Linked DNA regions of Xenopus tropicalis. The protein of the gene in region 1 purifies or fractionates together with the protein of each later gene. This does not show direct contact. Links are inferred from orthologs where the notes say so. Each region holds a gene or a part of one and is shown in the gene's direction. Other genes may lie near its edges.

Evidence for each region.
Region 2: the proteins of wdr20 (region 1) and fbxw5 purify together in Homo sapiens (co-immunoprecipitation; 3 studies listed by BioGRID and IntAct, counting the BioPlex papers as one, with this or other methods). This does not show direct contact. The link is inferred for Xenopus tropicalis from reciprocal best matches to the Homo sapiens genes WDR20 and FBXW5.

What each region holds. Positions count from the first base shown.
Region 1 is NC_030684.2:97,486,859-97,503,310, forward strand, and holds the end of wdr20 (WD repeat-containing protein 20), read left to right. Parts: intron 1-4,599; coding exon 4,600-4,782; intron 4,783-6,651; coding exon 6,652-7,944; 3' UTR 7,945-8,478; downstream 8,479-16,452. UniProt on the Homo sapiens protein: Regulator of deubiquitinating complexes. Activates deubiquitinating activity of complexes containing USP12. Anchors at the base of the ubiquitin-contacting loop of USP12 and remotely modulates the catalytic center of the enzyme.
Region 2 is NC_030684.2:2,780,341-2,796,805, reverse strand, and holds the start of fbxw5 (F-box/WD repeat-containing protein 5), read left to right. Parts: upstream 1-6,130; coding exon 6,131-6,139; intron 6,140-12,201; exon of another isoform or gene 12,202-12,225; coding exon of another isoform or gene 12,226-12,228; intron 12,229-12,229; coding exon of another isoform or gene 12,230-12,232; coding exon 12,233-12,418; intron 12,419-12,857; coding exon 12,858-12,861; intron 12,862-15,459; coding exon of another isoform or gene 15,460-15,462; coding exon 15,463-15,620; intron 15,621-15,800; coding exon 15,801-15,975; intron 15,976-16,465. Other genes in the region: c8g (complement component C8 gamma chain), read right to left, coding at 1,253-1,266, 1,362-1,400, 1,537-1,638, 1,747-1,854, 2,890-2,960, 3,190-3,341, 4,277-4,604, 5,898-6,085. UniProt on the Homo sapiens protein: Substrate recognition component of both SCF (SKP1-CUL1-F-box protein) and DCX (DDB1-CUL4-X-box) E3 ubiquitin-protein ligase complexes.

The sequences.
Region 1 (16,452 bases):
TCTCATCTGCCTGTGTTCAGATATACATTGCAGAAAATGGTGCCTGCACACAGCCATGCCTCTCCGTGCAGATACACGAAGGAGCAGATGAGGAAAGACCGGCTGATTCTCTTTCTGAGTTTAAATGCAGGCAGAGAGACAACCACTTTTGGCTGTCACATGTGACATGGCACATGGGGCTGTGTATTCTTTTCACGTGCTTTTTCTCCACAAGCAGAAAAGCTAGTGCACTCTCATCTGTTCCTTCCTCTATCAGCACGGTGTTTCCTGTATGCAGGTACACCAGCGAAGAAATGCCAGTGCATAGCCCCTTGTGCCACAAGCGTTGACCTTAGGCTAATGCCACAGCGGGCGAATTCTTTGCCTACGACCTGATTGCTGTGCCTGCACCTGTAGCCATTGTGGAGGCCCTTGCATAAGCAGTTTTGCGCCACTTAGTGTGCCTGTAGCTGGGCCAACACAATGCCTCTGGGTGCAGGCACAGCAGTTAGATTTTTGAAGAGTTGGGGCGGATTCTCGGCCTATGTTTAGGCTAGTGCCACATGGGGGCAGATGTTTGGCCTGCGTTTTGTGCAGCTCTAGAATCGGCCCCTCCGCTGGCACCAGCCTGCTACCTTGCCTGCACCCAGAAGCATTATCTCCACCTGGGTGCAGGCATACGTGGCAGATATTGGCTGTAAAATGCAGACTTTTTTTTTTTTTTTGCTGTTGTCTGCCTGCACCCGGGTGGACACAATGCTTTGGGTGCAGGCTGGTGCCACTAATCTCCCCGAGTTGCCTACCCCTGCCATCCCACCGGTGAACATGTAAGTTGCCGGCGGGATGGCAGACGCGGCGGGGCGATTTCGGGAAATCGCGCCGCCGCGTGTGCCATCCCGCCGGCGACTTACATGTTCGCCGGCGGGATGGCGGGTCATGGCAACTCGGGGAGATTAGTCGCCCGCGAACAGGGAGTTTTGTTGCGGGCGACTAATCTCCCCCGTGTGCCAGAGCCCTTAGGGGTGCCAGAGCCCTTAGGGCGCGATTTTGCGCAAATCGCCGAAAAAGACTCACGAGTTTTTTTCGGCGATTTCCGGAAATCGCCCCGCCGCGTCTGCCATCCCGCCGGCGACTTACATGTTCGCCGGTGGGATGGCAGGGGTAGGCAACTCGGGGAGATTAGTCGCCCGCGAACAGGGAGTTTTATCGCGGGCGACTAATCTCCCCCGTGTGCCAGAGCCCTTAAACTACTCTTTTCTGTGCATGAGCCTTTTGCTATATTCAATTTGAATGGCTGCCCCTACACAGCAGCTTATTTATATAAACTATAGTAGAGTTCTGAAGCAAACACAATTTTTTTAGCAGTGCAGGATAAAAGCACGTTATATGTAAATGCGTGTAATTATTTTTTTTTTATTGTTCTTTGTGTATATTGCCACATGTAAATATGCATATAGCCCTACCCCCCGATTTCAATCGGATTACCATTCAGTGGATTTTCATCTCTTGCCTATTCTGTATATTTACTACTTGGAGGCATTAACTTGGAGGTTTAGGGACCTGGAAAAATTAAAATAGATTTAAAAAGAAAACAAATGCTTTTTTCTCCACAATAAAACCATGCTTAAACTGCATTATTTAAAATATTATTTTTTCATTTTTTACCTTAAAAATATTTAACTGAATAGTACAGCAAATATGCGGATATTCAGTGGTAGACATGCTTCATTACACTGGGCAAAAATGTTTTTGTAGTTGTTCCTTTTCTGGTAAATTTGATTTTGTTCCAATGCTTTAGGGCTCTGAAAAATCATTAGAGTTAAAGGGATAATGATACATTTCAGTTAGTTTTTAACAGGTACAATTTACTACTCAGCACTAACTGCTCACTGCAAAGGGGATCCCCTGCTTCCCTGTACCCCCCAGTTTCTGGCCAGCTGGATGCCAAGCTTGGGGGTGAGGCAAAAATGATTCCCCAAAGCCCAGCAGCTCTGCTCGGGAGGCAGAAAGGTACTTTTGCAATGGGTGGTCTGCTCAGGGTAGGTTTTTATAAACATAGTGGCACATTCCTTCTAAAATTTGGAATGTCATCTCTTTAAAATATGCAATTTGTTTGAGAAAAAAAAAATGTTAGGAAAATTGCATATGTAAATGAAATGGGATCATCATAAAGCCAACATTATAGTAACCATTGACTTGAAGTGCAGTTATGGTTAAAAGCCTGATTTATCCTAGTTTTATTTTTTGTATAGAAACTTGGAAGGTTTGTCATTGCCGGTGTAAAACTGATGAGAAAAGGCTGATCTGTTCTGCATCTGTCTCATATATGTTAGGACAGCAATGAATACACATAGGGCAGATATTGCAAACTCTTATTTCACACGTGTGTGGGGCAGATTAGCCTTTTTCCCATGGCATAAAGAAAATGCCATGTGTGCTGTAAACCAAAGGATTGTTTTCACTGTGATCATCTCCAGAAGATCTCTACTAGGGCTGGGCGATATACCGTTTAATACCGAATACCGGTGTTTTTTTAAAAAACTATATTCATTTTTCAGATACCGCAATAACTCCTCCTGTGTTATGTTGTCTGCGGCCTTGCCTGGGGAAACTAAGCCTGCCTGATTTACCTTACGACTTTCTGTTGCCGATCCTTCGCTTGCCTGACTCTGATTTTCAATACTGCAGTAATTATTCTCTAATTTATTAGGAAATGGGGTTAACACCTAATCATGCATGGAAAAAAAAATACCGTCAAATACCGTGACACCGATATATAATTTTGAAAAATACCGTGATATAAATTTTTGGTCATACCGCCCAGCTCTAATCTCCACACACTTTTATAGTTGCCGTTTGTCTTAAGCTTTTTGATTTCTGCAGTTTTCTTCTCTTATAGGAACTTTAGTGTCCTTAAATAAAATATTTACAAAAGAAGCAGAGTACTAACTATTAATGTTACCTTTATACCAGTTATAACTTATTTCCCCCCTCCCTCCTTTCCTTGTGGGTTGATTTCCATAGCAATACCCACGTGCTATTAGAGTGACCTTGGCAGTCTATTCAGCATACTAGCTTAAGCTGCAATAATTGAAATGCAAAGTCATTTTATCTTGCACTTATTTGTTTGGAGTTCATTTATAGAATAAAGAGGGTAAAATCATCTGCTTTTTATCATGTTATTGTTTTTAAGCTTTCCATGGCAGGAGAAAATGCAAAATGTCTTAGTGTATAATACTTGTTTGTTCTTTGGCTTCAACATAGGTAAAATTTGTTGGGATGGGTTCCATAAAATGGTTAAACAGAAAATATGACTTTTGAGCATGGCTGTCTGGGTTATACGTGTCACCAAAGGTATCTGGTCTGATAGCCTTGTTCTCCCCTGATTCTGACCTACTTTTTTAGTGCAGCTCTGTAGGTGCAGACAGGTGTCATGTAGAATATGCAGGCAACCGTATTCTAGACAGGTAGCAATTGGCCTTTACTTTTTTTTAACATAAAATATTTTAATTTTGCTTTTTTATGGCTTCTCCAATATGGAATTTAAACTGCTATCTTGTTAGACTAGCCTCACAATGACTCTCCTTTCTGATTACTTTGCTGGCAGCTTTTTCTATGTAAGTTTAGAGTGAAGCAGAGCATAAAGGCAACTACAAATAAGAAAAACACAAATTGTAGTTGGTCTTAGAATATTTTTGTTGACATTTTAATAAGTTTATTTAACCCTTTAATTAGGTAGCCATTCCAGAATGCTGAAAACATGTCTAGTTTACTGCTTTTCTGCACTTGACACAGATATCTGTCTATGCTGTGATACCTCCTATAGATAACAAAAGTATTGCCTGAATTTCTAAAATATGGCTGCACGCACAGGGATAAAATCTACATGCCGAAGGCACAATGCCCATGGATAGCCACTTAGCTAATTAGATTATTGCCAGTAGTAAAGCTGAACCACATTACAATATGTTACAGAATTGCCTCTTAGCATGGAAAGAGCGCAGCTAGATCTGAATGTAGCCCACATTTAACAAAATGGATTAAACATCTGTTCTTCTCTGTAAGGGCCTTTGTGTTAGGTCAAACCCTGTAAATCTGTGGCATATGATCTTATTAGGTAAACATAGGCATAGATGTCCATATTTTTCACCTTGCTGTTTTTATTAGATATTGAGCCCTCTAAGCAACCCTGAAGTACAAGGATTATGTACTGGGGGAATTTTCTTGGCAGAACAAGTGGATCACAAAGCCTGCGATCAGGAATATTTTCATCAGTCTCTGGGTACTCTGTTCATGTGTCAAAGTCCTCATCTTGACCATATTAGCCAAAGATTGTCTGGTCAGAATAACTAGTTCTGTTCCAGGTGGCACCCATGCACAAGCAGTTCTGAGCTCAGTTAATTCTTGTGTATGTGGTTCATTAGACTCTTGGGCTCTGCTAGGAATTTGTAATCAAATTAATAGGCAGCAGAAGATACAGCAGTTGTTTAATTGTGACTTTAACTTCAAAGGGAACCATTTAGGTAAACTCTGTTGTAATCCAGTTTAAGTGATTGCTTCATCTCTTTGTTGGTCATTGAAGCGGTTCTTGTTTCATGTTCTTTCTTCTCTTCCCAACAGGCAGCGGATCTAAGCAAGCCCATAGACAAGAGAATATACAAAGGGACACAACCCACGTGTCATGACTTCAACCACCTCACAGCTACAGCTGACAGCGTTTCTCTTCTTGTGGGGTTCTCTGCTGGCCAGGTCCAACTTATAGACCCAATCAAAAAGGAAACAAGCAAGTTATTTAATGAAGAGGTGGGTTTAAAAACTGCATATATATCAGGGGGTTGCAGCTTATGCTGAAATATTGGCCGGAAAGTAAAACACTTTCGAATGCAATAGAAAAAGTTTTGTTTCTTAGTTTTGTGTGTGTTTTCTTATGAATTCTAGTTCTATTGTTGCTATTATTTTTTCAGTCGAGCTGACTGAAGTCAGGAATTCCAAAACATGATTGCTTGTCATGCATGGGCCAACCCAAATATTAGTAGCCTGGGCATGTTTCCAGCCTGACTGATATCTGGGCGATAATCTGGTGGATATCTTTTTGTGAAGTTTAGAAAATCGTGAGAGGAATATATTTGTGCCCCTGTTGGCACCCCCATAATGATCTGCTTGTTCATCCAGGGGCCTTGTGGGTCAGGAATCATTTAGAGCTCTGTCACAGATTAAAGGAAAAGTAACACTAAAAATTTTTAACTAAAAAATCTATTCTACCCTCCCCCAATAATTGCCCTATCCTGAAAACCATTTATTATTTTGAATGCTTTAGTAGAAAATACCTGTAAAAAAACTTGGCTTCCTGTCATTTGAACAAAGGCGATATGGCGATGCAGGGGAAGTATCAGGAGATGCATCAACTATGCGGCGATCGATTGATCGAGCCTAGCCTGACTTCATGCCGTATCGCCTTTGTTCAAATGACAGGAAGCCGAGTTTAACAGGTATTTTCTTATAAAGCATTCAAAATAACAAATGGTTTTCAGGATAGGGCAATTATTGGGGGCACTTGACACCTTTCAAGTCGAAAATATACACTCACCTAAAGGATTATTAGGAACACCATACTAATACCCTTCTCTGACCTCTAGCATCAACAAGGCATTTTCGCCCACAGGACTGCCGCATACTGGATGTTTTTCCCTTTTCACACCATTCTTTGTAAACCCTAGAAATGGTTGTGCGTGAAAATCCCAGAAACTGAGCAGATTGTGAAATACTCAGACTGGCCCGTTTGGCACCAACAACCATGACACGCTCAAAATTGCTTAAATCACCTTTCTTTCCCATTCTGACATTCCGTTTGGAGTTCAGGAGATTGTCTTGACCAGGACCACACCCCTAAATGCATTGAAGCAACTGCCATGTGATTGGTTGATTAGATAATTGCATTAATGATAAATTGAACAGGTGTTCCTAATAAACCTTTAGGTGAGTGTATACGAGAGATATTTTGAAGAGGTGAAATATGCAGTTTGAGGCAATGCAACCTAACAACTGTTTATTTTTTTTTTATATAATGTTTATTTCTATCAAAATTAAGGTGTGCTTGTTTTAAAATGTAAATATTTAAAAACACTGGTTATTTTATTTGAATTTTAGCGCTTTATTCAGTTATTCATGCTTTGCTTAAGTGTAGTGGCACACAGGGTCATTAGGAACATTTGGTCTTTTTGTTGCTCAGTGCATGGGTGACTCGGAAATGCCCCCATTCATTCCTAGATTAATTGGGTGCATGAATGGAGGCACATAGAATTACCCCGTGTGCCATTACTCTAGCGATATCTCAGTATCATTAGTGGAGGCAATGTGAAGCTCTCCAGTGCCTACATACAGTTGCCAGGGAATCTGTCACCCTTACATTTAGAGAAATATCTTGTCTGAGAATTATGCTACTGATAATCTTACAACTGGTCATTTAGCCATTACCAAAGCAGGACAGTTGAGGACTATTCATTTGATTCAGAGGCAAATCTAAAAATAAAAAATGTAACATGTTAGGTGTATGAATTGTCCTCTGAATGCAATTTAAAACATGATCTTGACTTGTTTGTACTTTCTTGTAGCTTATCTTGCCTGAGCTCTTCTTAACACTGATTTTTGCATCTTTTATTTTGTCTTTAACAGAGACTAATAGACAAGTCCAGAGTAACCTCTGTAAAATGGGTTCCAGGCTCGGAAAGCCTCTTTCTAGTAGCCCATTCCAGTGGAAATATGTATTTGTATAATGTGGAGCATACATGTGGAACCACTGCTCCACATTACCAGTTACTTAAGCAAGGTGAAAGTTTTGCAGTCCACACATGCAAGAGCAAGTCCACACGAAACCCTCTACTGAAATGGACTGTTGGCGAGGGTGCCCTAAATGAATTTGCTTTTTCCCCAGATGGGAAATTCTTAGCCTGTGTGAGCCAAGATGGCTTTCTTCGTGTATTTAACTTTGACTCGGTAGAGTTGCATGGTACAATGAAAAGCTACTTTGGTGGACTGCTGTGTGTGTGTTGGAGTCCTGATGGCAAATATATTGTAACAGGTGGAGAGGATGACTTGGTAACTGTTTGGTCATTTGTGGACTGCCGAGTTATAGCCAGAGGTCAGGGACACAAATCTTGGGTCAGTGTTGTTGCATTTGACCCTAATACCACTAGTGTAGAAGAGACAGACCCAATGGAGTTTAGTGGGAGTGATGAAGATTTTCAGGAACTGATAAGCTTTGGTAGAGATAGAGCAAACAGTACACAGTCAAGATTATCGAAAAGGAACTCTACAGACAGTCGTCCTGTTAGTGTAACCTATAGATTTGGCTCAGTAGGCCAAGATACCCAGCTGTGTTTATGGGACCTTACAGAAGACATCCTTTTTCCTCATCAGCCACTTTCAAGGACAAGAACACACACAAATGTCATGAATGCCACAAGTCCACCTGCAGGAAGTGGTGGGCCAAACCCAGGAAGCAATGGCAACAGTATCACAACCCCAGGCAACTCCATTCCTCCTCCTCTTCCTAGGTCCAACAGCCTTCCTCATTCTGCAGTGTCTAACGCAGGCAGTAAAAGCAGTGTGGATAGTGCCATAGCATCTGGTGTCAGCAAGTTTGCAACTCTGTCCCTCCATGATCGCAAGGAAAGACATGACAAAGACCACAAGAGAAACCACAGTATGGGACATATATCTAGCAAGAGCAGTGATAAACTGAACCTAGTTACAAAAAATAAAACGGACCCGGCTAAAACTTTGGGAACCCCTCTTTGCCCCAGGATGGAAGATGTCCCTTTGTTAGAGCCTCTTATCTGTAAAAAGATAGCACATGAAAGACTAACTGTGCTTATTTTTCTTGAAGACTGTATAGTCACTGCTTGTCAGGAAGGATTTATTTGCACATGGGCAAGGCCTGGTAAAGTGGTAAGTTTTAATCCTTAACACTGCGTCAAGATTTAGAACCTGAGTAGCTAATTATTCTGGGAAACTGACTTTTTATTTCCATTCAATGTAGAAATACTTGTTTTGTTTTTTTCCCTTTTGAGACATATTTTGGTTACTGCATGTCATACTGTTTTGAATCATTTGAAATTTTGCCACAGTATACCGTACTTGGGGGAGTAAAAAAATAAGTACATGTAATTACAAAGAGTATTGTGCCAACCAAAGAGAGAATTCCTTTACCAGAAGCACTGTACACTGTAAAATATTAAATATGCGCTTTCCCACAAAAAAATGGAAAAATGTGCAGGTAAATTTGGTGTCGGCCAACTGAATTGTAATGTCAGAATTAGCAAAGAGGTGGGCTGAGCATGGAACGGGTTGTGGGCCCCTTCACGTACATGGAAATTAAAGCACTTGTTAATGTATTTGTATCCATATTGAATCATTCTAGAGAAGGTCTAAACATGGACATAAATTTATTCTATTAAGCTAATAAGATCTGTATTTCTGTAAATAAAAAGGTTACCTTGATTTCTTTAGTATTCTCCATGTGTAACTCTTTCTTACAATACATACAACCGATATACCGAACTAAAGTTTTTAGTAGACATTGACTGCTTTGACGGTGGGTCTGTACGGTTGGTGGAATGTCAATCTGATCACCTTTTTAAGATAACAAATTGCTCAAAATATATATGGTTCTTCATGAAAGGGGTCAATTCACAACAACAAACTAACACAAAGCCATATTAATGCCATTTGGTTGTAGCATAGCCTGTAGTTGTGTCAATTTTGTTGGGCTGTGCTGTTTAGCTAGATGTTCTTACTGCTGCTCATTGTCCCAGGCTTTTATCTTAAAAAAAAAAAAAAAAATCCCTACTGGTGAATTATTAAACATTTTAAGGCTCATTTGCCAGCTTGGAACGTTTCTTTACAAATTCTCCCCTAATTTTTATGGTGTTGCATAAGAAAGTATATCACTAACTAGCAGAACTGACGCTCACTCAAAGGCACACTGCACTACTTTATATAAAGAATACTGCTTTCCTTGGAAGCTAAAGCCTATAAATGTGTCTTAACAATAATGCCATAATTTTATTTATTTATTTTTTAATGTTTACAATGGACCATGGTTTCTTTATATTCCCTCCCTTGGTAAACTCATAAACTCACCCTTTATATAGGGAAAATGAATATGCAGGGGAGCCACAGGCAGCAGAGGTTATCAGGGCATTGAATATTGGCAAAACATAAATGACCTTTATCAACCACCCTGATTTCCCACTCATCTGTTTGGATATAGTGTGATCTTATTGGTTACATTGCTTGTTTTGCAGCGGCTCACACTGCTACACAAATCTGTTGCAAACGACAGTATTTGTATGTTCAGATATGTCGTTAGTGTTATTTCTCAGTATGTAGGTGTCCAGGTAGGAAAGAGAATATTTTTCCTTTACAACAGTAAGGGAAGAATATTTTCTGTCCTGCCTGGATTCTGTACAAATGAAGCCCTTTTTCCCCATCTGCACTGTTGATTACTACACTATACAGTTTTTAAACAAATAGAACACTGTTTCAGTAGTAGCTGTATTTTTTTGTAAATAAGGTTACCTTGATTTCTTTCTTTTTCTTTATCTATTATTGCCCTATAGACAAGTCAGTAAGCTGCCAAGCTGTGCATGTCTGCTTTTTGGCTCTGTTTGCTTTTTAACTTTACTTTTGTGTCACTTGAGTGGAAAAAAAATCCATATTCATCATATTAGATTGGACTGATCTAAGTCCGCTCCTACACAGGTTTATTTAATGTTTTTAACAAGGCCTAAAATCTCATATGTTAGGTGATTTAAAAGACCATGTCCAGAGAAGCTTGCATTCATCTTTAACTATTATTTATATTAACTGTTTGCACTTACACCATCACAGCTAGGCACGGACATGGATTAAACACACCTTTAGCAAGTGTCTGGATGTTAAATAAGTTCTAGGGTTAAATATAAAGCAGGACAGAGTGTCTCTCACTGACAAGTTAGCCTGTCTTGCAGGACATAGCATCTTTCCACAGACAAGTCAGCCGGTCTCCTTTTCCCCAGTGAGTTCACTCAAAATGAACAATAGTAAATTGCAAGTCAAGTTGGGCTGCTTTTGTAGGAAATCAGAAAACCACATTTGGCTTACTCTTCTAGTTATTTTTGGACTTTTTTTATTCTGTTGGCAAATTAGTCCTAATTTGTATGTATAAATATAATTCTAGCAAGAAAATAAAATTTCAAATGTTTCTGAGAGATGAGTATGCAGTACCAAAAATGGCGCCCAGGTAGTTTTCTCATTGTATAATCATTTGCAGGTAAGTGTGTTTTTTTTCATTAGCTTTCTTTTCATTTGCACTTTTTTTTTTGTTCACAAAAACACAACACATTTTAACATATATTTTAGACTAATATATGCTCACATTTTGGAGTGCAGTGCTTGTGTGACAGTACCCTCAGCATCTGTGGCCAAGTGCAGTCATTCTAGAATATGAAGCAAGTAACCTTATTCACCAATGTGTTAATAATGTATTTAATAATGCCTTTTTATAGGGGGAACATTTTCTTTGTACTCCAGTATAGCAGACTTTATACTGTAGCAGCAGGTAGTGAGAATAGCAGCAGTTATTAACCCACCAGTTGCGTATGTTAATATTGCAAATATTTTTCTTTTGTACATGATAATGTTACAATTCATGTAAGAGGATTTTGTGCAGTGCCTGTTGTATGTCTGTCTATCTTCTAGTTGACTTAATTAGAAAAGACAATAAGTTTAAAGGAGAGCTAAAGCTCGGCAAAGAATTAATGAAGACTTTTTACACCATATTTTTAACCTTCTGTACCAGCCCAAGGCAACCACAGCCCTTTAGCAGGGAAGATCTGCGCCTCCAAAGATGCCCCCAGTAGCCCCCCATCTTCTTTTCTGCTGATTCCTTGCACAACATTAAAATTCACAACACAAGTTTGATTAGCAGTAAGTTCATATTTAAATTACATTTTGGCATAAAAACCAGTGTATTCTTCATCAGAATTCATCACTAATCAGCCCTGTATCATCAGCTATTATGACAGATGTAAGGGCAATGACAAATGGGATGTTTTGTGCCACATGTTTGTCCAGCAGCATTTTGCATGTTAGCCGGTGGAGAGGGAACAAGGGATGTTTTGTTGGCCGCTGTAGCCAGATTTAATTGTGGGTGACAAAATGCCCGGATCTGTTATTGTCCTAAACCTATTTGATTCCCAGAATTTTCTTGGAAAAAAACTCAACGCCATCTATATATCTGGTTTTCCCCTAGACTTTGCTTGGTGGTCTATAATCTCCCAGTGTTGTGCAACAGCCATTCACTAGTTATATGGAAGCAACAGTAACTATTTCAAAATGGAGCTCTTAAACAATTTGCAAGGGGTCTTTTATATTTTTTCAAATGATATAACATTTTGTTCCTATAGTCGGAATGACAAGAGCCTATACAGAAGGATACGCAATAAAAAGTATCAATAAAAAAAACTAAGTGTAGCCTCACAAATAGTGTTTTTTTTGTTTTGATTTTGTTTTTTTTTGTGGTTGTTGGGGTCCACGAAGTTAGTATTTCCAATATTATTCTTTAAAGAGATATATTGGTGAAATAAGTAAACATAGAACATGAAGATCAGTAGGAAAGTTGCTAAGGCCTTTCTACTGAAACTCAATTTAACAGTGAATGTAATATCTTAAACCATATTCTTTTAACATCCAGCTACTGGATGAACAATCAATTCACTCTGTAACCCTAAGCATTCATATAAGTAGAAGTGCTATTTATTTTAAATAAATGTATTCTCAGCATTCAGGATGAGTTGGGCGTTGCAGCACCTTCAGAGCAAGACTTAGAGACATCAGTGCATTTGTTTTAAAAATCACAAACCCATTCCTTGAGCTGAAACAAAAATGGCAACTGAGTTAAGTAAAATAAAAAATCAGAGTTAAAACTAGCACAATTTTTGCCTAACATGTAACTTACATAAACAAGCGGAGGAACATCCTGACTCCTCCCATTTATCTCCTCAATCCCTAACCCAGGCTTCTGCCCTTCTTCACATGCTGCACTTATAATGCAAACATTCAGGCAGCAACACAGAACTAGCTGCTCTACCTGGCCCGGGCCATCCTTCATTTAATAAAGCCTTGGAATTGTGTACAGACCCAAGTAATGATATTAACATAGGGGTTCACTTAGTTGTCCACTTGAACGTTAATTTATGCTAAAAGACAAAACACAGTAACATGTCCTGAAGCAGAACTTTGCCACAAGGGAAAGTTGCAGCTTTATTAGTAGTATGTGCTATTGGGGGATCTTGAAAATTATCATTTTAAAAATTAAGGGCTGCCCCTGAGATTATACTATTCATGGTGCACACAGACAAACCAAGGGCACACATACATGCTAGGCCACATCAGCCAATGAATGGACAGAGTTCTGTCCTTTACTCCCACACTACTTCCTGTTACAGTTAGAGCTGTATTATTTCCTGTCTCTGAGGGAGCACACGGACCATCACAAAGTAGTGGATCAAGGGAAAAGATATAAGATGCCAATATTTATTGACTAATATATATATTCCAGTTTGGTAAGATTCTTTAATAGACTACTTAGTAAGATATAAACTATCTGTTGGATCTCACTTAAAATATTTTGTGATCCCAGCATGCTAATGTGGATTTTAACTGTCATGTTTATAAAGCCTTATATCTATTCAGTGGAACATACCACTCTGTCAAGTTAGGACTTGGCTAGTTGCCTCCTTAGGGTGCTGTTAACCCAAGTTCTCTCTTTGTATAATGGCATTTCTGTGATTAGCATGTAGCTTTTGTTTCAAGCTGAGAAACCAACAAATCAATTGCTATACAAATTGCTGCTGCTGTTTATGCAACACTCAGCTAAGAGCGATTGCACTCTGTGTGCTTTAGAATCTTCAGCACATTTGTAGAAGGTGACGTTACATTTATCATATAAGCTGATGCCCCAAGACTGATTACTGATCAATTCTGGTGCACTGTATTGTAAAAGTGTAAGCTCGGATAACTAACACCATGTGCTGGGAATCAGCAAAAGAAATTTGGGTGCTATTGGGGGCTTAAGGTGGCCATACACGTAGCAATTTTGATCTTTCCTGTGACCGACAGTCGCAAGAAAGATCTTTGTTTTCCCCCACTGACGTTCAGGGCTGAATCGTCTGATATGGAGGTTGAAATAATAGGAATTCTACCTCCACCTCCCGATTCAGCCTTGAACGCAGATTTTGTTTGGGTGCCTTCAATGGGCACCGATCAGTGAGACGATTGATATCCGCAGCCTTTGTGATATCGGTTGTCTTGTCGATCTACCATACACGCACCAAATATTGCACGAAATGAGGTGTCATACGATATCATTGGTGCGTGTATGGCCGGCTTAATTCATACTCACGGATCTATACTGCTAAAGGGCTGTGGTGGTTGGTAGATTTGATCAAAACACAAGGTGTAGCCTTTTTAGTGTTGGTCTTTAGTTCCCTATTTTGGCCTTGGCTAGTGTTTGTGTACTGTAATGATGTAACAAACTTGGTTGAAACTGTCTTAGCTTACCTATAGCCATACACAGGCCAGTGTTCGTTTCTAACTTTTCCACTTATTGGCTCATGTATGGGGGCAATCAGACAGCCACCCAACCAATATCTGGTAAACATGCCATGAAATAAGACTGATGCACAGTAAACAGGCAATAATACTATAAAGGTTGGGTTTGTATATTCAGCATTAATTTAAATCTTAATCATACTTGCACATAGAAGATCGGAAGTAATATTTCTATCTCTTACTGATGCATCGTATGTATCAAACACTCAAGCTTTTTCGGGATGTATCCCACTCAGTTCTTTTTTTATTGGTGGCAGCTTAAACCACTGTACTATATAGATAATTATAGTGTGCTGACCTAAAATATCCTTATAAAGGCAAATCCTCTCACATGAAATGTAGGACAGCAGTCTAACACAGAAATATTCCCTTGCTCTTAAAACGAGTTACAAAACCTGTATGATTGCATGTTTATTTTTCCCCAAAGAGGCCTTTTATAATAATATTGATGGTTCTTGGGAAGAACAGTAGTATTTAACGGGCTACGCCTCATGCATAACCACACACTAACATATATATTTTGAAAGAGTAAAGCCAGAGTAGCAAACAGGCTGTAAAGATGGCCATAAACTGAAAATCCTGTTTATGGACTAAGTGGGCTTGTATGCGCATTTGCCCTACTTTGTGGCCAATATGATCCCCACATGATTTTGAGGCTTAGTCAGATAGTGATTGTGCTGGAAATGTTGCTCACCCAAGGCGTCTACACAGGCTTTCCATGTGTTCAGCCCGATCTGCCCACCGCCTGGCAAGGTCTTTAATGGTCTTTGTCTTTATAAAGATCATTTTAGCCATTGTATTTCTACTTTCTGCATTGTGTTTGCAATATTAAAGCACAAGGAAAGCCTATTACTGGGAGTGATACCAGTTTTATAGGCACCCGCCAGGGAATAAAATCCTTTTCCTTGGGCCAGGAATATTTTGGCCCCTAGTGCTACCCTGGGTGGCGTAGGAAATGCCGCCCCTCTGCTCCTAGGCTTTTTGCATTGTAGGTGGCCAGGGGCAGGCACGTTGCTAATGCAGGGAATGAATAGCACTCTCTGCAACAGAAGTTACGACGTAAAACTGAATTTTTGGCTCTTTAGCCACCCCTGGTAACTTCAAGGCACCTGCTGCCCAAGACAAGTTTCTTAACTCTCCTCATGGCAGCAGCGGCCCTGCCTTGGGCTGAGATTCTTTCTGTCGAAGAACTGGCATCTTCCCAGGGTATCCTTGTGCCTAACTTGACTTGCGTGTGCTCAGTGTAATTTCCAATTTGACTCATCCATGCCTGCGGAATACGAGTTGGGTGCAAAGGATCCCTGCTTAATGCAGGTAAGATAACAGCAGCACCTAGTCCTACTGTGTTTTCTCTTGCATGCATAGTAAGATCAATGAATGGGATCTATTGTTAATACTCGCCCAGGGTGCATTTTAGCCACAAAATGAAAAAGTTTATTCTGGCTGAATCCCACCCTGTGTTCTTATTGACAGGAGGATCACATTCAATTCTGTTACAATGCATACAGTATAAATGTGGGCACACAGGATTAGACTTGTATGCCATAGACCGAAGGCAGTATAAATTGCTGGCTAGGGCACTGCAAGAAAAGTTAGTGATTTGAAAGGATACACCCAAAACACCTTTGCTGAAAAACAAAACAAAAAAAAAACTAGTTTCCTTGTTTTGCCATTATAAAGCACTAATTTAAACACTTGCTGGCCATTTTATTCAGAGCTCCCCCTCTAAACAAACAAACCAACCCCTCCCTTCTCTAAGCAGCCTTTAAGCGGCTCATTATCAGGGGCTTTTCAGTGGACTGGTAATTAGTTTTATCAGCTCTTTTGAAGTTCTTTGGACTGGAAGTGCTAACATGGCTTCATATTAATTTCTAGTGCTGGAAAAAACAGAAACTTAGATATTTTTTAAATAAAAACAATAGACTAAAAGTATGTTCAGCACATGCCCTGTTTATTGAGCTTGTGCATAAAAAGTGGTGTATACTATCCCTTTAATTCACACGAGGTGTTGCATTAAAATTGTTAGTTATATTATGGACAAAGCAAATGCCCTTACTGGGTGGCTTGTTTTGATTTTACCACAGTGATGCAATTAGAATATAAGAGTTTCCCACACTGTGTTACAGAGCTTTTGTGCATTTGCCACAACAGTGTAACCACAGCTATAATAGAGGGCTTTCAATTTGATCTATGGCAGCTACTTAAAGAGCAGTGTAATGAAAAAGACCATAATGACACAAGATGTCATTTCATGCAAGGAATTTTGCTTCACTGTGCGTAAGCATCTATATATAATATAATATTTATAGCATAGTGGTGCTGCCATTTTGTTTGCTTAAGGTAAGGCCTTGTCCTATAATAATCAAGGGTGCACCTTACTGGTGTAGTGACAAAGTGATTGGGCATAACCTGACCAAGGCCATACACTCATTGCAACCAGACATTTACTTTCTTTATTTTAACTGTCCATTTAAATATGATATGCCACCTAGAACTGTGCCCTGCCCACAAGTGGGCACTTGATTATCCGCTAATACAGCAGCTTGCCCATGGCCTTCCTTTGACTTGCCCCTTGCATTTACAAGGACTTCCTTTAACCTAATCAATGATGGCCCGGCCCCAGCTTATGGCAAACAGCACTGCAGCCTCTCTATTTAACTGTTGCTAAACTACAGTTGTCATTGGGATTGTGGGAGTTGTAGTTTAGAAATAGTGTGGGGGGAGGGGGCTGTGAATGGATACCTAAAGGCAGCTATACCTCTTGCTATGCTCAGTGGATGTACCCGTGGAACAGGGTGATGGGTAGGGTGTGGGTTTGTT
Region 2 (16,465 bases), about 95 Mb from region 1:
ACACTATGGCACCCCCTACCCATATGTATAAATACAAATATACAGAGAAGGAATGTTCTGGGCACACAATAAGCTGTACCCCCATACTGTACTGTCTAAGGGAAACACTATGGCACCCCCTACCCATATGTATAAATACAAATATACAGAGAGGGAATGTTCTGGGCACACAATAAGCTGTACCCCCCATACTGTACTGTCTAAGGGAAACACTATGGCACCCCCTACCCATATGTATAAATACAAATATACAGAGAAGGAATGTTCTGGGCACACAATAAGCTGTATCCCCATACTGTACTGTCTAAGGGAAACACTATGGCACCCCCTACCCATATGTATAAATACAAATATACAGAGAGGGAATGTTCTGGGCACACAATAAGCTGTACCCCCATACTGTACTGTCTAAGGGAAACACTATGGCACCCCCTACCCATATGTATAAATACAAATATACAGAGAGGGATGTTCTGGGCACACAATAAGCTGTACCCCCATACTGTACTGTCTAAGGGAAACACTATGGCACCCCCTACCCATATGTATAAATACAAATATACAGAGAGGGAATGTTCTGGGCACACAATAAGCTGTACCCCCATACTGTACTGTCTAAGGGAAACACTATGGCACCCCCTACCCATATGTATAAATACAAATATACAGAGAGGGAATGTTCTGGGCACACAGTAAGCTGTACCCCCATACTGTACTGTCTAAGGGAAACACTATGGCACCCCCTACCCATATGTATAAATACAAATATACAGAGAGGGAATGTTCTGGGCACACAGTAAGCTGTACCCCCATACTGTACTGTCTAAGGGAAACACTATGGCACCCCCCTACCCATATGTATAAATACAAATATACAGAGAAGGAATGTTCTGGGCACACAATAAGCTGTACCCCCATACTGTACTGTCTAAGGGAAACACTATGGCACCCCCTACCCATATGTATAAATACAAATATACAGAGAGGGAATGTTCTGGGCACACAGTAAGCTGTACCCCCATACTGTACTGTCTAAGGGAAACACTATGGCACCCCCTACCCATATGTATAAATTCAAATATACAGAGAAGGAATGTTCTGGGGACAGAGGATATTTTATTGGATACAGGGGATACATGGTGGTTCCATATGTGGGTGCCAGTCGGTGTGGGTGCCAGTCGGTGTGGGTGCCAGTCGGTGCCGCAGGGCAGGAAGTCCCCTCCAGGCTGAGTATTTTCCCACAGGTAACGGGTCACTTGGGAGCCTCTGTAACAGGAAAGGGAAAGGGTAAGTACAGGAAGGAGACCCTGATAATGTGGGGGAGCCGGGCAGTTGTCACATAGCAACGGGGTGAATCTTACCATCGAGGATGTGGAACTGATCGGCCGACTCACAGAAACCTGAATGGAGAGAAATAGGGGAGCAGAATCAGAACCGGCAGCACTGGGCTTGTACATTGGGCCACGGAGCTGTCAATCAGACTCACGGTCACTGCCCCGTTTGCAGCAGGACATCAGCGCTTTGTGGCTTACTCACCGTATGCAGGGAAGGGGTACAGGGACTCCAGGCCCAGCTCCTGCTTACCCGCCAGCGCCTCAAACCTGGTGAAAATGTTGTTGTTCAACTGCGTCTTCCGCCCTGAGACGTAAAGAAAGGAGGTGGGTGGGAATCAGCCCACAAGCACCAATATACCCTGACTAAATGCCTACTGCCCCCCCCACGAGTGTATCTGCCCCCCATACTCACCGTACAGCTTCATACTCAGCTTCCTCTGTCTCTGATAGAACAGTATCGCGTAGCTCTCGTAATCCGTGTCCCCCACAACCATATCGATTGGCCCCTTGGAGCCCCGCCCTGTGGGTATGAACACAACCGGTACTGAGTGACCATGGGAAGGAGAGCAGCCCAGGAGCAGGAAGTACAGAGAATCAGAGCTCTGTACCTGGGTAAGTACTGGGGGAGATTGGATTCACTTACCCAGGGGGAGGTTCCTGCCTGACCATGGGAAAGAGAGCAGCCCAGGAGCAGGAAGTACAGAGAATCAGAGCTCTGTACCTGGGTAAGTACTGGGGGGAGATTGGATTCACTTACCCAGGGGGGGGTTCCTGCCTGACCATGGGAAAGAGAGCAGCCCAGGAGCAGAAAGAACAGAGAATCAGAGCTCTGTACCTGGGTAAGTACTGGGGGGAGATTGGATTCACTTACCCAGGGGGGGTTCCTGCCTGACCATGGGAAAGAGAGCAGCCCAGGAGCAGGAAGTACAGAGAATCAGAGCTCTGTACCTGGGTAAGTACTGGGGGAGATTGGATTCACTTACCCAGGGGGAGGTTCCTGTCTGACCATGGGAAAGAGAGCAGCCCAGGAGCAGGAAGTACAGAGAATCAGAGCTCTGTACCTGGGTAAGTACTGGGGGGGAGATTGGATTCACTTACCCATGGGGGGGGGGTTCCTGTCTGACCATGGGAAAGAGAGCAGCCCAGGAGCAGGAAGTACAGAGAATCAGAGCTCTGTACCTGGGTAAGTACTGGGGGGAGATTGGATTCACTTACCCATGGGGGGGGGGTTCCTGTCTGACATGGGAAAGAGAGCAGCCAGGAGCAGGAAGTACAGAGAATCAGAGCTCTGTACCTGGGTAAGTACTGGGGGAGATTGGATTCACTTACCCAGGGGGGGGTTCCTGCCTGACCATGGAAAGAGAGCAGCCCAGGAGCAGGAAGTACAGAGAATCAGAGCTCTGTACCTGGGTAAGTACTGGGGGGAGATTGGATTCACTTACCCAGGGGGAGGTTCCTGCCTGACCATGGGAAAGAGAGCAGCCCAGGAGCAGGAAGTACAGAGAATCAGAGCTCTGTACCTGGGTAAGTACTGGGGGAGATTGGATTCACTTACCCAGTAAGAGGAACCGCCCTTTCTGCTTGTTCTCCCTATATTCCTGTTTAATCTCCCAGCAGATTCCGTCCCTGAGAAAAGAGCAAGTGAAATATTTAGGGAATATAAAGTATCTAATTCCATCCTGATTGGTTACATCCAAATCTATCTGCATTCTGATAGGCCCCCGCTATATGCGCCCAGTTTCAGTCAACAGCTCCGTCTTTCTAAAAACCAACTTATGAACAGGTTTCAAAACGGCGCCCCCTATTGATTCTAAATACAGGTTTCTCCCTGGCTCCTCCCCCACAATTCACTTACAGTTTTCGGAAGGTGCTCACAGTCAGTGTGTCCCCCACTTTGGGCTTCTTGGAGGCGGTCACTTGGGCAATGGTGGCCTCAACCCGGTGATTGTTCAGCTTCAGGTAATTACATTCAGAAGCCACGGACAGGAGAAACCACTTCCCTGCAAACTGAGCCATTGAGGGATTATTGTGTGCCCAGAGCATTCCCTCTCTGTATATTTGTATTTATACATATGGGTAGGAGGTGCCATAGTGTTTCCCTTAGACAGTACAGTATGGGGGTACAGCTTATTGTGTGCCCAGAACATTCCTTCTCTGTATATTTGTATTTATACATATGGGTAGGGGGTGCCATAGTGTTTCCCTTAGACAGTACAGTATGGGGGTACAGCTTATTGTGTGCCCAGAACATTCCCTCTCTGTATATTTGTATTTATACATATGGGTAGGGGGTGCCATAGTGTTTCCCTTAGACAGTACAGTATGGGGGTACAGCTTATTGTGTGCCCAGAACATTCCTTCTCTGTATATTTGTATTTATACATATGGGTAGGAGGTGCCATAGTGTTTCCCTTAGACAGTACAGTATGGGGGTACAGCTTATTGTGTGCCCAGAACATTCCTTCTCTGTATATTTGTATTTATACATATGGGTAGGAGGTGCCATAGTGTTTCCCTTAGACAGTACAGTATGGGGGTACAGCTTATTGTGTGCCCAGAACATTCCCTCTCTGTATATTTGTATTTATACATATGGGAGGGAGGTGCCATAGTGTTTCCCTTAGACAGTACAGTATGGGGGTACAGCTTATTGTGTGCCCAGAACATTCCTTCTCTGTATATTTGTATTTATACATATGGGTAGGGGGTGCCATAGTGTTTCCCTTAGACAGTACAGTATGGGGGTACAGCTTATTGTGTGCCCAGAACATTCCCTCTCTGTATATTTGTATTTATACATATGGGTAGGAGGTGCCATAGTGTTTCCCATTAGATAGTACAACATAGAAGGCGCTAGTAAGATCCTTCTCCCCCCCCCCATTACACTACCAGACGCCCCTTTATATTACCCCCCACCCCAATAATACTCTGGGTGTACTTACCCGGTTTGGATCAAAGTTGCCCACAGCCTGGATATTGTCTATGGGACTGGGGGGAGGTGGTTTCTTCTGCCTTTGCCCCAGGGCAGTAGGGGCAGAGAGGAGCAGCAGTAGAGAGGCCAGTGTTGCCCCTAGTTGCCCCAGTAGATGCCCCATGCTGAGGAGGGTTCTGCTCGCAGTGTGTCCCAGAGGAGACTGACAGTCGGAGCCCAGACCCCGCCGCACTGGCTGCTGGGAGGTTGGGAAATCTCTGTAACTGGAAGTGACTGGGGTTGTTTGCTCAGTGCCGGTGCCCCCAGATATCCCCCTCTGTACTGTAAATACACCCCCACTGTGAGACTACAATTCCCAGCATCCCCTGCTCCAATCCTACTAATGAATACAATGGGCATTTGCAAACAATAGTAACTCTGAGGGAAAAGATAAACAACACCCCCCCCCCCGACCCCCAGCCCTGGGCACCCTATTAGCAAACAATGTAACTCTGAGGGCCAAGATAAACAACCCCACCCCAGCCCGTAGCCCTGGGCACCCTATTTGCAAACAATGGGAACCCTGTGGCACCCAGATGGGGGGGGGGGGGGTAAAACTACAGAAGGGGCTCATTTTCCTACTGAAGCCAAACCGCTCTCATTAGTTGCTCGTTATAAAGGGCAATTAAACCAGTTTTTTTCTAACTTCGCCCCCCTGTAACCTTTGTACTTCCCCTTTCATGGTTGCCATGGAATTTGGAGGAATTACCATTTATTAAATGTTGGTCCGAGGGAATATTATTTGGGCCCTCGTGCCCCCCCTTCAGGTTCTCAAGGGCCTCCCATTATACCACTAGAGTGTAAGCTCCTTGGGGCAGGGCCTCCCATTATACCACTAGAGTGTAAGCTCCTTGGGGCAGGGCCTCCCATTATACCACTAGAGTGTAAGCTCCTTGGGGCAGGGTCTCCCATTATACCACTAGAGTGTAAGCTCCTTGGGGCAGGGCCTCCCATTATACCACTAGAGTGTAAGCTCCTTGGGACAGGGCCTCCCATTATACCACTAGAGTGTAAGCTCCTTGGGACAAGGCCTCCCATTATACCACTAGAGTGTAAGCTCCTTGGGACAGGGCCTCCCATTATACCACTAGAGTGTAAGCTCCTTGGGGCAGGGCCTCCCATTATACCACTAGAGTGTAAGCTCCTTGGGACAGGGCCTCCCATTATACCACTAGAGTGCAAGCTCCTTGGGGCAGGGTTTCCCATTATACCACTAGAGTGTAAGCTCCTTGGGGCAGGGCCTCCCATTATACCACTAGAGTGTAAGCCCCTTGGGACAGGGCCTCCCATTATACCACTAGAGTGTAAGCCCCTTGGGACAGGGCCTCCCATTATACCACTAGAGTGTAAGCTCCATGGGACATGGTCTCACATTATACCACTAGAGTGTAAGCTCCTTGGGACAGGGCCTCCCATTATACCACTAGAGTGTAAGCCCCTTGGGACAGGGTCTCCCATTATATTATTTGGGGAAGAATTGATGTTGAGCTGGGGGCAGTTTGCAGTTCTGTGCCCCCCCAACAGGCCCCAATGCCCCCCAACTCCCTGGGACAGAGAGAAACACAGAGAACCGATCCAGGAGGTCCCCGCACCATAGAGGCTTAAGAAGCAAGGGGCAGAGCGACATTGAGATCATAGAGCTGCGGGAGGGCCGGGATAGCCGGGCTGGGAAGATGCGGAAGTGAAGGTGAGTTCTGCCCTCAGCTGCTACCGGAGCCGGAGTGTCCCCCGCACTCAGTCCGCTGAGTAATACTCGGTGTGTCCCTATACCGGCACCCATAGGCGCAGCGCCCAGCCGGGAGCAACTAGTAATCAGCGGGGCATCATGGGAACTGTCTGTCTAAATATATCTGTCTGAGCTGCGTATTCCTTCATTAGCTCCGCCCTCTGCTGGGAGGCCCTTCCCTGTATCTACCCCCCTCTCTGTATCAGTCCCACCGCCCCTACTGGGAGGCCGTTCCCTGTATCTACCCCCCTCTCTGTATCAGTCCCACCGCCCCTACTGGGAGGCCGTTCCCTGTATCTACCCCCCTCTCTGTATCAAGTCCCCAGCCCCTACTGGGAGGCCGTTCCCTGTATCTTACCCCCCTCTCTGTATCAGTTCCCACCGCCCCTACTGGGAGGCCGTTCCCTGTATCTACCCCCCTCTCTGTATCAGTCCCACCGCCCCTACTGGGAGGCCGTTCCCTGTATCTACCCCTCTCTGTATCAGCCCCACCGCCCCTACTGGGAGGCCGTTCCCTGTATCTACCCCCCTCTCTGTAATCAGTCCCACCGCCCTACTGGGAGGGCCGTTCCCTGTATCTACCCCCCTCTTGTATCAGTCCCACCGCCCTACTGGGAGGGCCGTCCTGTATCTGTCCCCCCCTGTATCTGTCCCCTCTCTGTATCAGTCCCACCACCCTACTGGAGGCCGTTCCTGTATCTACCCCCTCTCTGTATCAGTCCCACCAACCCTACTGGGAGGCCGTTCCCTGTATCTGTCCCCTCTCTGTATCAGTCCCACCGCCCCTACTGGGAGGCCGTTCCCTGTATCTACCCCCTCTCTGTATCAGTCCCACCGCCCCTACTGGGAGGCCGTTCCTGTATCTACCCCCCCTCTCTGTATCAGTCCCACCAACCCTACTGGGAGGCCGTTCCCTGTATCTACCCCCCTTCTCTGTATCAGTCCCATCGCCCTACTGGGAGGCCCTTCCCTGTATCTACCCCCCTCTCTGTATCAGTCCCACCGCCCCTACTGGGAGGGCCGTTCCCTGTATCTACCCCCCTCTCTGTATCAGTCCCACCGCCCCCTACTGGGAGGCCGTTCCCTGTATCTGTCCCCTCTCTGTATCAGTCCCACCAACCCTACTGGGAGGCCGTTCCCTGTATCTACCCCCCCTCTCTGTATCAGTCCCACCAACCCTACTGGGAGGCCGTTCCTGTATTGTACCCCTCTCTGTATCAGTCCCATCGCCCTACTGGGAGGCGTTCCCCTGTATCTACCCCCTCTCTGTATCAGTCCCAGCCGCCCCTACTGGGAGGCGTTACCTGTATCTACCCCCCCTCTGTATCAGTCCCCCGCGCCCCTAACTAGGGAGGGCCGTCCCGTGTATCTGTCCCCTCTCTGTAATCAGTCCCCCACCGGCCGCCTACTGGGAGGGCGTTCCCTGTATCTACCCCCTCTCTGTATCAGTCCCATCGCCCCTACGGGGGGTCCGTTCCCTGTACTCTACCCCCTCTCTGTATCAGCTCCCACCGCCCCTACTGGGGAGGCCGTTCCGTATCCCCCCTTGTATCATCCACCCCCCTCTGGCCCGTTCCCTGATACCCTTTCAGTCCCCCGCGCCTTCTGGGGATGGCCGTTCCTGATATCTCACCCCCTCTCTGTAAGTCAGTCCCACCCACCTACTGGGGGCCGTTCCTGTATCTACCCCCCTCTCTGTATGCAGTCCGCACCAACCCTACTAGGGAGGGCCTTCCCTGTATCTACCCCCTCTCTGTGTATCAAGTTCCCAACCAACCCTAACTGGGAGGCCGTTCCTGTATCCCCTCTCTGTATCAGTCCGACCGCCCCTACTGGAGGGGTAATCCCCCCTGCTCTGTATCAAGTCCCACCGCCCTACTGGGGGGCCGTTCCCTGTTCTACCCCCTCTTCTGTATCAGTCCCACGCCGCCTACTGGGAGGCCGTCCCTGTATCTATCCCCCCTCTGCTGGTATCAGTCCCACAACCTCTGGGAGGCCGTTCCCTGTATCTACCCCCCTCTTGTATCAGATCTCCCCAACCACCTACTGGGAGGCCGTTCCTGTATCTACCCCCCTCTCGTATCAGTCCCCACCGCCCCTACTGGGAGGCCGTTCCCTGTATCTACCCCCTCTCTGTATCAGTCCACCAACCCTACTGGGAGGCCGTTCCCTGTATCTACCCCCTCCTCGTTTATGCGAGTCCCACCAACCCTACTGGGAGGCCCGTTCCTGGTAATCTTACCCCTGCTGCTGTATCAGTCCCACCCGCCACTGGGAGGCCGTTCCCTGTATCTACCCCCTCTCTGTATCAGTCCCACCGCCCCTACTGGGAGGCGCGTTCCCTGTTCTACCCCCCCCTCGTGTATCAGTCCCACGCCCCTAACTGGGGGCCCGTTCCTGTATCTGACCCCTCCTCTGTATCAGTCACACCTACGTGGGGGGCCGTTCCCTGTATCTCCCCCCTCTCTGTATAGGATCCACCAACTCCTACTGGGAGGGCCTTCCCTGTATCTACCCCCCTGCTCTGTATCAGTCCCACCGCCCTACTGGAGGCCGTTCCCTGTATCTACCCCCTCTCTGTATCAGCCCACCAACCCTACTGGGAGGACCTTCCATGTTCTACCCCCCCGCTGCTCTGTATCAAGTCCCACCAACCCTACTGGGAGGCCGTTCCCCTGTATCTACCCCCCTCTCTGTATCAGTCCCACCAACCCTACTGGGAGCCGTTCCCTGTATCTACCCCCTCATCTGTATCAGTCCTCACCGCCCTACTGGGGAGGCACGTTTCCCTGTATCTTACCCCTTCTGTATCAGTCCCACCGGCCCCTACTGGGAGCGCCGTTCCTGTATCTGTCCCCCGTCTCTGTATCAGTCCACCGCCCTACTGGGAGGCCCGTTCCCTGTATCTACCCCCCTCTCTGTATCAGTCCATACCCGCCGGCGCTGGGGGGCTGTTTCCCTGTATCTACCCCCCTCTCTGTATTCAGTCCCCAGACCGCCCTACTGGGAGGCCGTTCCCTGTATCTACCCTCTCTGTAGTCAGTCCCACCCCCTACTGGGAGGTCGCGTTTCCCTGTATCTGTTCCCCTCTCTGTATCAGTCCCACCGCCCCTACTGGGGAGCCGTTCCCTGTATCTACCCCCCTCTCTGTATCGAGTCCCACCAACCTACTGGGGGGGACGTTCCCTGTATCTACCCCTCGTCTGTATCAGTCCCACCACCCTACTGGAGGAGCCGTTCCCTGTATCTACCCCCCTCTCTGTATCAGTCCACCGCCCCTACTGGGAGGCCGTTCCCTGTATCTGTCCCCCTCTCTGTATCAGTCCACCACCAACCCTACTGGGAGGCCCGTTCCCTGTATCTGTCCCCTCTCTGGGTATCGTCCACCACCTAACTCTGTTCCCTGTATCTCCCCCCTCTCTGTATCAGTCCGCACCACCCTACTGGGAGGCCGTTCCTGTATCTACCCCCCTCTCTGTATCAGTCCCACCGCCTACTGGGAGGCGCCGTTCCCTGTATCTACCCCCTCTCTGTATCAGTCCCATAACGCCCCTACTGGGAGGCCGTTCCCTGTATCTAACCCCAGCTCTCTGTATCGAGGTCCTCTACCGCCCATACTGGGAGCCCGTTCCCTGTATCTACCACCCCTCTCTGTATCAGTCCCACCGCCCCTACTGGGAGGCCGTTCCCTGTATCTACCCCCCTCTCTGTATCAGTCCACCGCCCCTACTGGGAGGCCCTTTCCCAGTATCTACCCCCCTCTCTGTATCAGTCCCACCGCCCCTACTGGGGGGCCGTTCCCTGTATCTAGCCCCCTCTCTGTATCAGTCCACCGCCCCTACTGGGAGGCCTTCCCTGTATCTACCCCCTCTCTGTATCAGTCCCTCGCCGCCTACTGGAGGCCGTTCCTGTATCTAACCCCCTCTCTGTATCAGTCCCACCGCCCTACTGGGGAGCCATTCCCTGTATCTACCCCCCTCTCTGTATCAGTCCCACCGCCCCTACTGGGGGCCGTTCCTCCTGTATCTACCCCCCTCTCTGTATCAGCCCTACCAACCCTACTGGGAGGCCCTTCCCCTGTATCTACCCCCCTCTCTGTATCAGTCCCCCCACCCCTACTGGGAGGCCTTTCCTGTTCTTCCCCCCCTCTCTGTATCAGTCCCACCGCCCCTACTGGGAGGCCGTTCCCTGTATCTGTCCCCTCTCTGTATCAGTCCACCAACCCTACTGGAGGCCGTTCCCTGTATCTACCCCCCTCTCTGTATCAGTCCCACCAACCCTACTGGGAGGCCGTTCCCTGTATCTCCCCTCTCTGTATCAGTCCCACCGCCCTACTGGGAGGCTGTTCCTGTATCTACCCCCTCTCTGTATCAGTCCCACCGCCCCTACTGGAGGCCGTTCCCTGTATCTGTCCCCTCTCTGTATCAGTCCCACCAGCCCCTACTGGAGCCGTTCCCTGTAATCTACCCCCTCTCTGTATCAGTCACCGCCCCCTACTGGGAGGCCGTTCCCTGTATCTACCCCCCCTCTCTGTATCAGTCCCACACGCCCCTACTGGGAGGCCGTTCCCTGTATCTACCCCCCTCTCTGTATCAGCCCTACAACCCTACTGGGAGGGCCCTTCCCTGTATCTACCCCCTCTCTGTATCAGTCCCACCGCCCCTACTGGGAGGGCCGTTCCCTGTATCTGCGACCTCTCTGTATCAGTCCCATCGCCTACTGGGAGGCCGTTCCTGTATCCACCCCCCTCTCTGTATCAGTCCACCGCCCCTACTGGGAGGCCGTGTCCCTGTATCTACCCCCCGCTCTCTGTATCAGTCCCACCGCCCCTACTGGGAGGCCGTTCCCTGTATCTGTCCCTCTCTGTATCAGTCCCACCGCCCCTACTGGGGGGGTCCGTTCCCTGTATCTGTCCCCCCTTTCTGTATCAGTCCCACCGCCCCTACTGGGAGGCCCTTCCCTGTATCTACCCCCTCTCTGTATCAGTCCCACCGCCCCTACTGGGAGGCCGTTCCCTGTATCTACCCCCTCCTCTGTATCAGCCCTACCAACCCTACTGGGGGGCCGTTCCCTGTATCCGTACCCCCCTTCTGTATCAGTCCCACCGCCCCTACTGGGAGGCCGTTCCATGTATCTACCCCCCTCTGTATCAGCCCACTGCCCCTACTGGGGGCCGTTCCCTGTATCTATCCCCCTCCGTCTGTATCAGTCGGCCCTACCAACCCTACTGGGAGGCCGTTCCATGTATCTCCCCCTCTCTGTTATCAGATCCACGCCCTACTGGGGGGCCATTCCCTGTATCTGTCCCCCTCTCTGTATCAGTCCACACGCCCCTAACTGGGAGGCCGTTCCTGTATCTACCCCCCCTCTGTATCAGTCCCACCGCCCCTACTAGGGAGGCCCCTTCCCTGTATCTGCCCCTCTCTGTATAGTCCCACCGCCCCACTGGAAGGCCCTTCCTGTATCTACCCCCCTCTCTGTATCAGTCCCCACCGCCCCTACTGGGAGGCCCTTCCTGTATCTAAACCCCTCTCTGTATCAGTCCACCGCCCCTACTGGGAGGCGTTCCTGTATCTACCCCCGCTCTGTAATCAGTCGCCGCTACTGGGAGGCCGTTCCTGTCTCTACCCCCCCTCTCTGTATCATCCCACCTGCCCCTACTGGGAGGCCGTTCCTGTATCTGTTCCCCCTCTCTGTTATCAGTTCCCACCACCTAGGGAGCCGTTCCCTGTATCTACCCCCCTCTCTGTATCAGTCCCACCTGCCCTACTGGAGGCCCGTTCCTGTCATCTACCCCCCTCTCTGTATCAGTCCCACCGCCGGCCTACTGGAGGCCCTTCCCTGTATCTACCACCCTCTCTGTATCAGTCCCAACCGCCCCTCTTGGACCGCTTCCCCTTTATCTATCCCCCTCTCTGTATCAGTCCCAACGCCCTACGTGGGAGGCCCTTCCCTGTATCTACCCCCCTCTCTGTTATCAGTCCCACCGCCCCTACTGGGAGGGTACCGTTCCTGTATCTTACGCCTCTCTGTAATAGTCCCCACCAGCCCCTTACTGGGAGGCAGTTCCCTGTACTACCCCTTTCATCGTGTTCTCCCAGTGCTTATACATGAACATGATGTAAGTGACCCCCCCCCATGACCATGTACCTCCGTTGGGCAGGGGCCGCCAGGGGGTAACAGAAATGAACACAATGCGAGCGATTGGACCTTCCCAGCTTACCAGACAGCATTCTGTACCAGATCTTCAGAGGCCGTTGCCTTCCGATCTCCTCAGCCGGACTGGTCTGTCGGCGCTGGTACAGAGTCTCCCGAGATGATTTCCTGTGGAAGGAGCTTTTCTACCGACACTTCCGGGTGCATCGCGACATCCTCCGGATCCACAAGGTCAGTGCCCTTCTTCCTGCCGACTGGGCTGCTCATCCTCCTCCTGTAAGAGATCCAATCTCCGCCCCCAGTCTTACCAGGTAGGAGAACTCTGATTCTCTGTACTTCCTGCTGCTGGGCGCGCTCCTCTTTCCCATGGTCCCAGGCAGGAACCTCCCCTGGTAGTGAATCCAATCCCAACCCCCAGTACTTACCCAGTACAAGAGCGTCTGATTCTCTGTACTTCCTGCTCCTGGGGCTCTGCTCTTTTCCCATGGTCAGGCAGGGAACCTCCCCCGTGGGTAAGTGAATCCAATCCCCCCCTCCCAGTACTACCAGAGTTACAGAGCTCTGATTGCTCTGTACTCTTTCCCTGCTCCTCGGGCTGCTTCTCTTCCATGGTCAGACAGGAACCCCCCCCTGGGTAGGTGAATGACCAATCTCAACCCATCGTACTTAGCCAGGTACAGAGCTCTGATTCTCTTGTAACTATCTCTGCTCCTGGGTCTGCTTTCATCTTTCCATGGTCAGGCATGGACCTCCCCCTGGGTAAAGTGAATCCAATCTCCCCCCAGTACTTACCCCAGGTACAAGAGCTCTGATTTCTCTGTACTTCCTGCTCCTGGGCTGCTCTCGTTCCCCTGGTCAGGCAGGAACCTCCCCTGGGTAAGTGAATCCGAATATCTCCCCCCAGTAGCTTAACGCCAGGTACAGAGCTCTGATTCTCCCGTAACTTCCTGCTCCTGGCTGCTCTCTTCCAGTGGCAGACAGGAACCGCGGTCCCCCCCTGGGTAAGTGATATAGTCCAAACCCGCCCTAGTACTTTACCCCAGGTACAGAGCTCTGATTCTCTGTACTTCCTCGCTCTGGGCTGCTTCTCTTCCCATGGTACAGACTTGGAAGCGCTCCCCCACCTGGGTAAGTGAATTCCAATCCCCTAGTATTACCCGTACAGAGCTCTGATTCTCTGTACTTCTGCTCCTGGCTGCTCATCTTCCATGGTCAGACAGGAACCTCCCCCCCTGGGGTAAGTGAATCCAATCCAGCCATAGTGACTTACCAGGTACACGAGCTCTGATTCCTCTGTACTTCCTGCTCCTGGCTGCTCTTCTTCTTCCGCATGGTCAGCGCAGGAACCGGTGCCGCCGCTGGTGTAACGGTGAAGTCCAATCTCCCAGTCATATAAGGCTCTAGGTGACGAGAGCTGTTGATTCTGTTCCGTAGTAACGTCTGCCTGCGTCGCTGGGTTCACTGCTCTCATTCGCCATAGGTCAGGCAGGAACCCCCCCGGGTAAGTGAATCCAATCTCCCCCAGACTTACCCGAGGTACAGAGCTCTGATTCTCTGGTAACTTCTGCTCCTGGCTGCTCTCCACTTTCCCATGGTCCAGGCAGGAACCGCCCCCCCTGGGTAAGGTTGAAATCATCTTCCTCCCTATTGACTACCCAGTACAAGACGCTCTGATTTCTGTCTTCCTGCTCCTGGGCTGCTCCCCCTAGGTCAGCTGGACAGGACGACGTCCCCTGGGTAAGTGAATCCTATCCCACCCCCAGTACTATACCTCAGGGCGGAACATACAGGAGCTCTGACTGTCTCTGTACTTCCTGCTGTCCTAGGGCTGCTTCTTTCCATGGTCAGACAGGAACATCCCCCTGGGTAACGTGAATCCAAGTTCTCCCCCAGGTACTACCGGCAGTACAGAGCTCTGATATCCTCTGTACTTCCTTGCTTCCTGGGACTGGCTCTTCTTTCCCATGAGTCAGGCGGACCTCCCCCTGGGTAAGTGAATCCAATCTCCCCCCAGTACTTACCAGGTACAGAGCTCTGATTCTCTGTACTTCTGCTCCTGGGCTGCTCTCTTTCCCATGGTCAGGCAGGAACCCCCCCTGGGTAAGTGAATCCAATCTCCCCCCAGTACTTACGCCAGGTACAGAGCTCTGATTCTCTGTACTTCCTGCTCCTGGGCTGCGTCTCTTTCCTATGGTTACAGCACAGGAACCCCCCTGGGTAAGTGAATCCAATCTCCCCCCAGTACTTACCAGGTACAGAGCTCTGATTCTCTGTACTTCCTGCTCCTGGGCTGCTCTCTTTCCCATGGTCAGGCAGGAACCCCCCTGGGTAAGTGAATCCAATCTCCCCCCAGTACTTAACCAGGTAACAGAGCTCTGATTCTCTGTACTTCCTGCTCCTGGGCTGCTCTCTTTCCTATGGTCAGGCAGGAAACCCCCCCTGGGTAAGTGAATCCAATCTCCCCCAGTACTTAACCAGGTACAGAGCTCTGATTCTCTGTACTTCCTGCTCCTGGGCTGCTCTCTTTCCTATGGTCAGCAGCAGGAACCCCCCACTGGGTAAGTGAATCCAATCTCCCCCCATGTACTTACCCAGGTACAGAGCTCTGATTCTCTGTACTTCCTGCTCCTGGGCTGCTCTCTTTCCCATGGTCAGGCAGGAACCTCCCCTGGGTAAGTGAATCCAATCTCCCCCCAGTACTTACCAGGTACAGAGCTCTGATTCTCTGTACTTCCTGCTCCTGGGCTGCTCTCTTTCCCATGGTCCAAGACCCCCCCCCCCCCGGTAAGTGAATCCAATCTCCCCCCAGTACTTACCCAGGTACAGAGCTCTGATTCTCTGTACTTCCTGCTCCTGGGCTGCTCTCTTTCCCATGGTCAGGCAGGAACCTCCCCCTGGGTAAGTGAATCCAATCTCCCCCCAGTACTTACCCAGGTACAGAGCTCTGATTCTCTGTACTTCCTGCTCCTGGGCTGCTCTCTTTCCCATGGTCAGACAGGAACCTCCCCCTGGGTAAGTGAATCCAATCTCCCCCCAGTACTTACCCAGGTACAGAGCTCTGATTCTCTGTACTTCCTGCTCCTGGGCTGCTCTCTTTCCCATGGTCAGACAGGAACCTCCCCCTGGGTAAGTGAATCCAATCTCCCCCCAGTACTTACCCAGGTACAGAGCTCTGATTCTCTGTACTTCCTGCTCCTGGGCTGCTCTCTTTCCCATGGTACCCAATGGGGCTGCTGTGTGCAGTGTGTAATGGCTCCTCCCTTTCCTGTGTGTAGGGGCGGAGTCCTGGTACGAGGAGTTCCAGCGGGTGTGTGACGCGGTGCCGCGGGTGGAGGCGCAGAGGTTACGGGAACACGGGGACCAAGTGCTGCACATCAGCTTCTCCCACTCAGGGGACCTGTTTGCTTCCTGCTCCAAGGACTGTACCATTAAGGTAAGGGGGGGGGGAGTCCCCCAGGAGCCCGTATGGGCCAAGCCTGCCCCCCAGTGATTCTGATTGGCCCCTCGGCCATGCCCCTTCTGTACCCTGATAAAATATGTAATTTAATAAGGCAGTTGGGGGTTATTTACTCGCACTTTCTGATTGGCTGATGAATCCCCGTTGGTTCCGCAGGTTTGGGCCAGCGCCCCGCCCATCTCGGTCCGACACAGCGCCGACATGAAGCCGCATCACTGGAGCTACACCCAGTTCTCCCAGTTTAACTCCGACGACTCCCTCCTGCTGGTCTCCGGGGTGTTCGTGGGGCCGCACAACTCTTCCGCCGGGGAGATCGCCGTCTTCAGTCTGGGTGAGTGCGATATCGGCCATTAGATTGTCAGCTCCTGTGCGGCAACTAGGCCTTTAGCTGAAGAGCTTGCAATCTGACCAGCACTCAGTGCACTGCAGCAGTCTGGCCACTAGGGGGAGCCGGTATTACACAAATCCTGGAGTGAGAGCCGCACAGACTGATAATTACAGAATAAAGGGGAAGTAATCATTTATTATTGGGGTCTGTGCAACTCACCTGTGTCTCCTCCCCTGTCTCCTCCCTCACCCCATGTGTCTCCTCCCCTGTCTCCTCCCTCTCCCCCATGTGTCTCCTCCCCTGTCTCCTCCCTCTCCCCATGTGTCTCCTCCCCTGTCTCCTCCCTCACCCCATGTGTCTCCTCCCCTGTCTCCTCCCTCTCCCCATGTGTCTCCTCCCCTGTCTCCTCCCTCTCCCCATGTGTCTCCTCCCCTGTCTCCTCCCTCTCCCCATGTGTCTCCTCCCCTGTCTCCTCCCTCTCCCCCATGTGTCT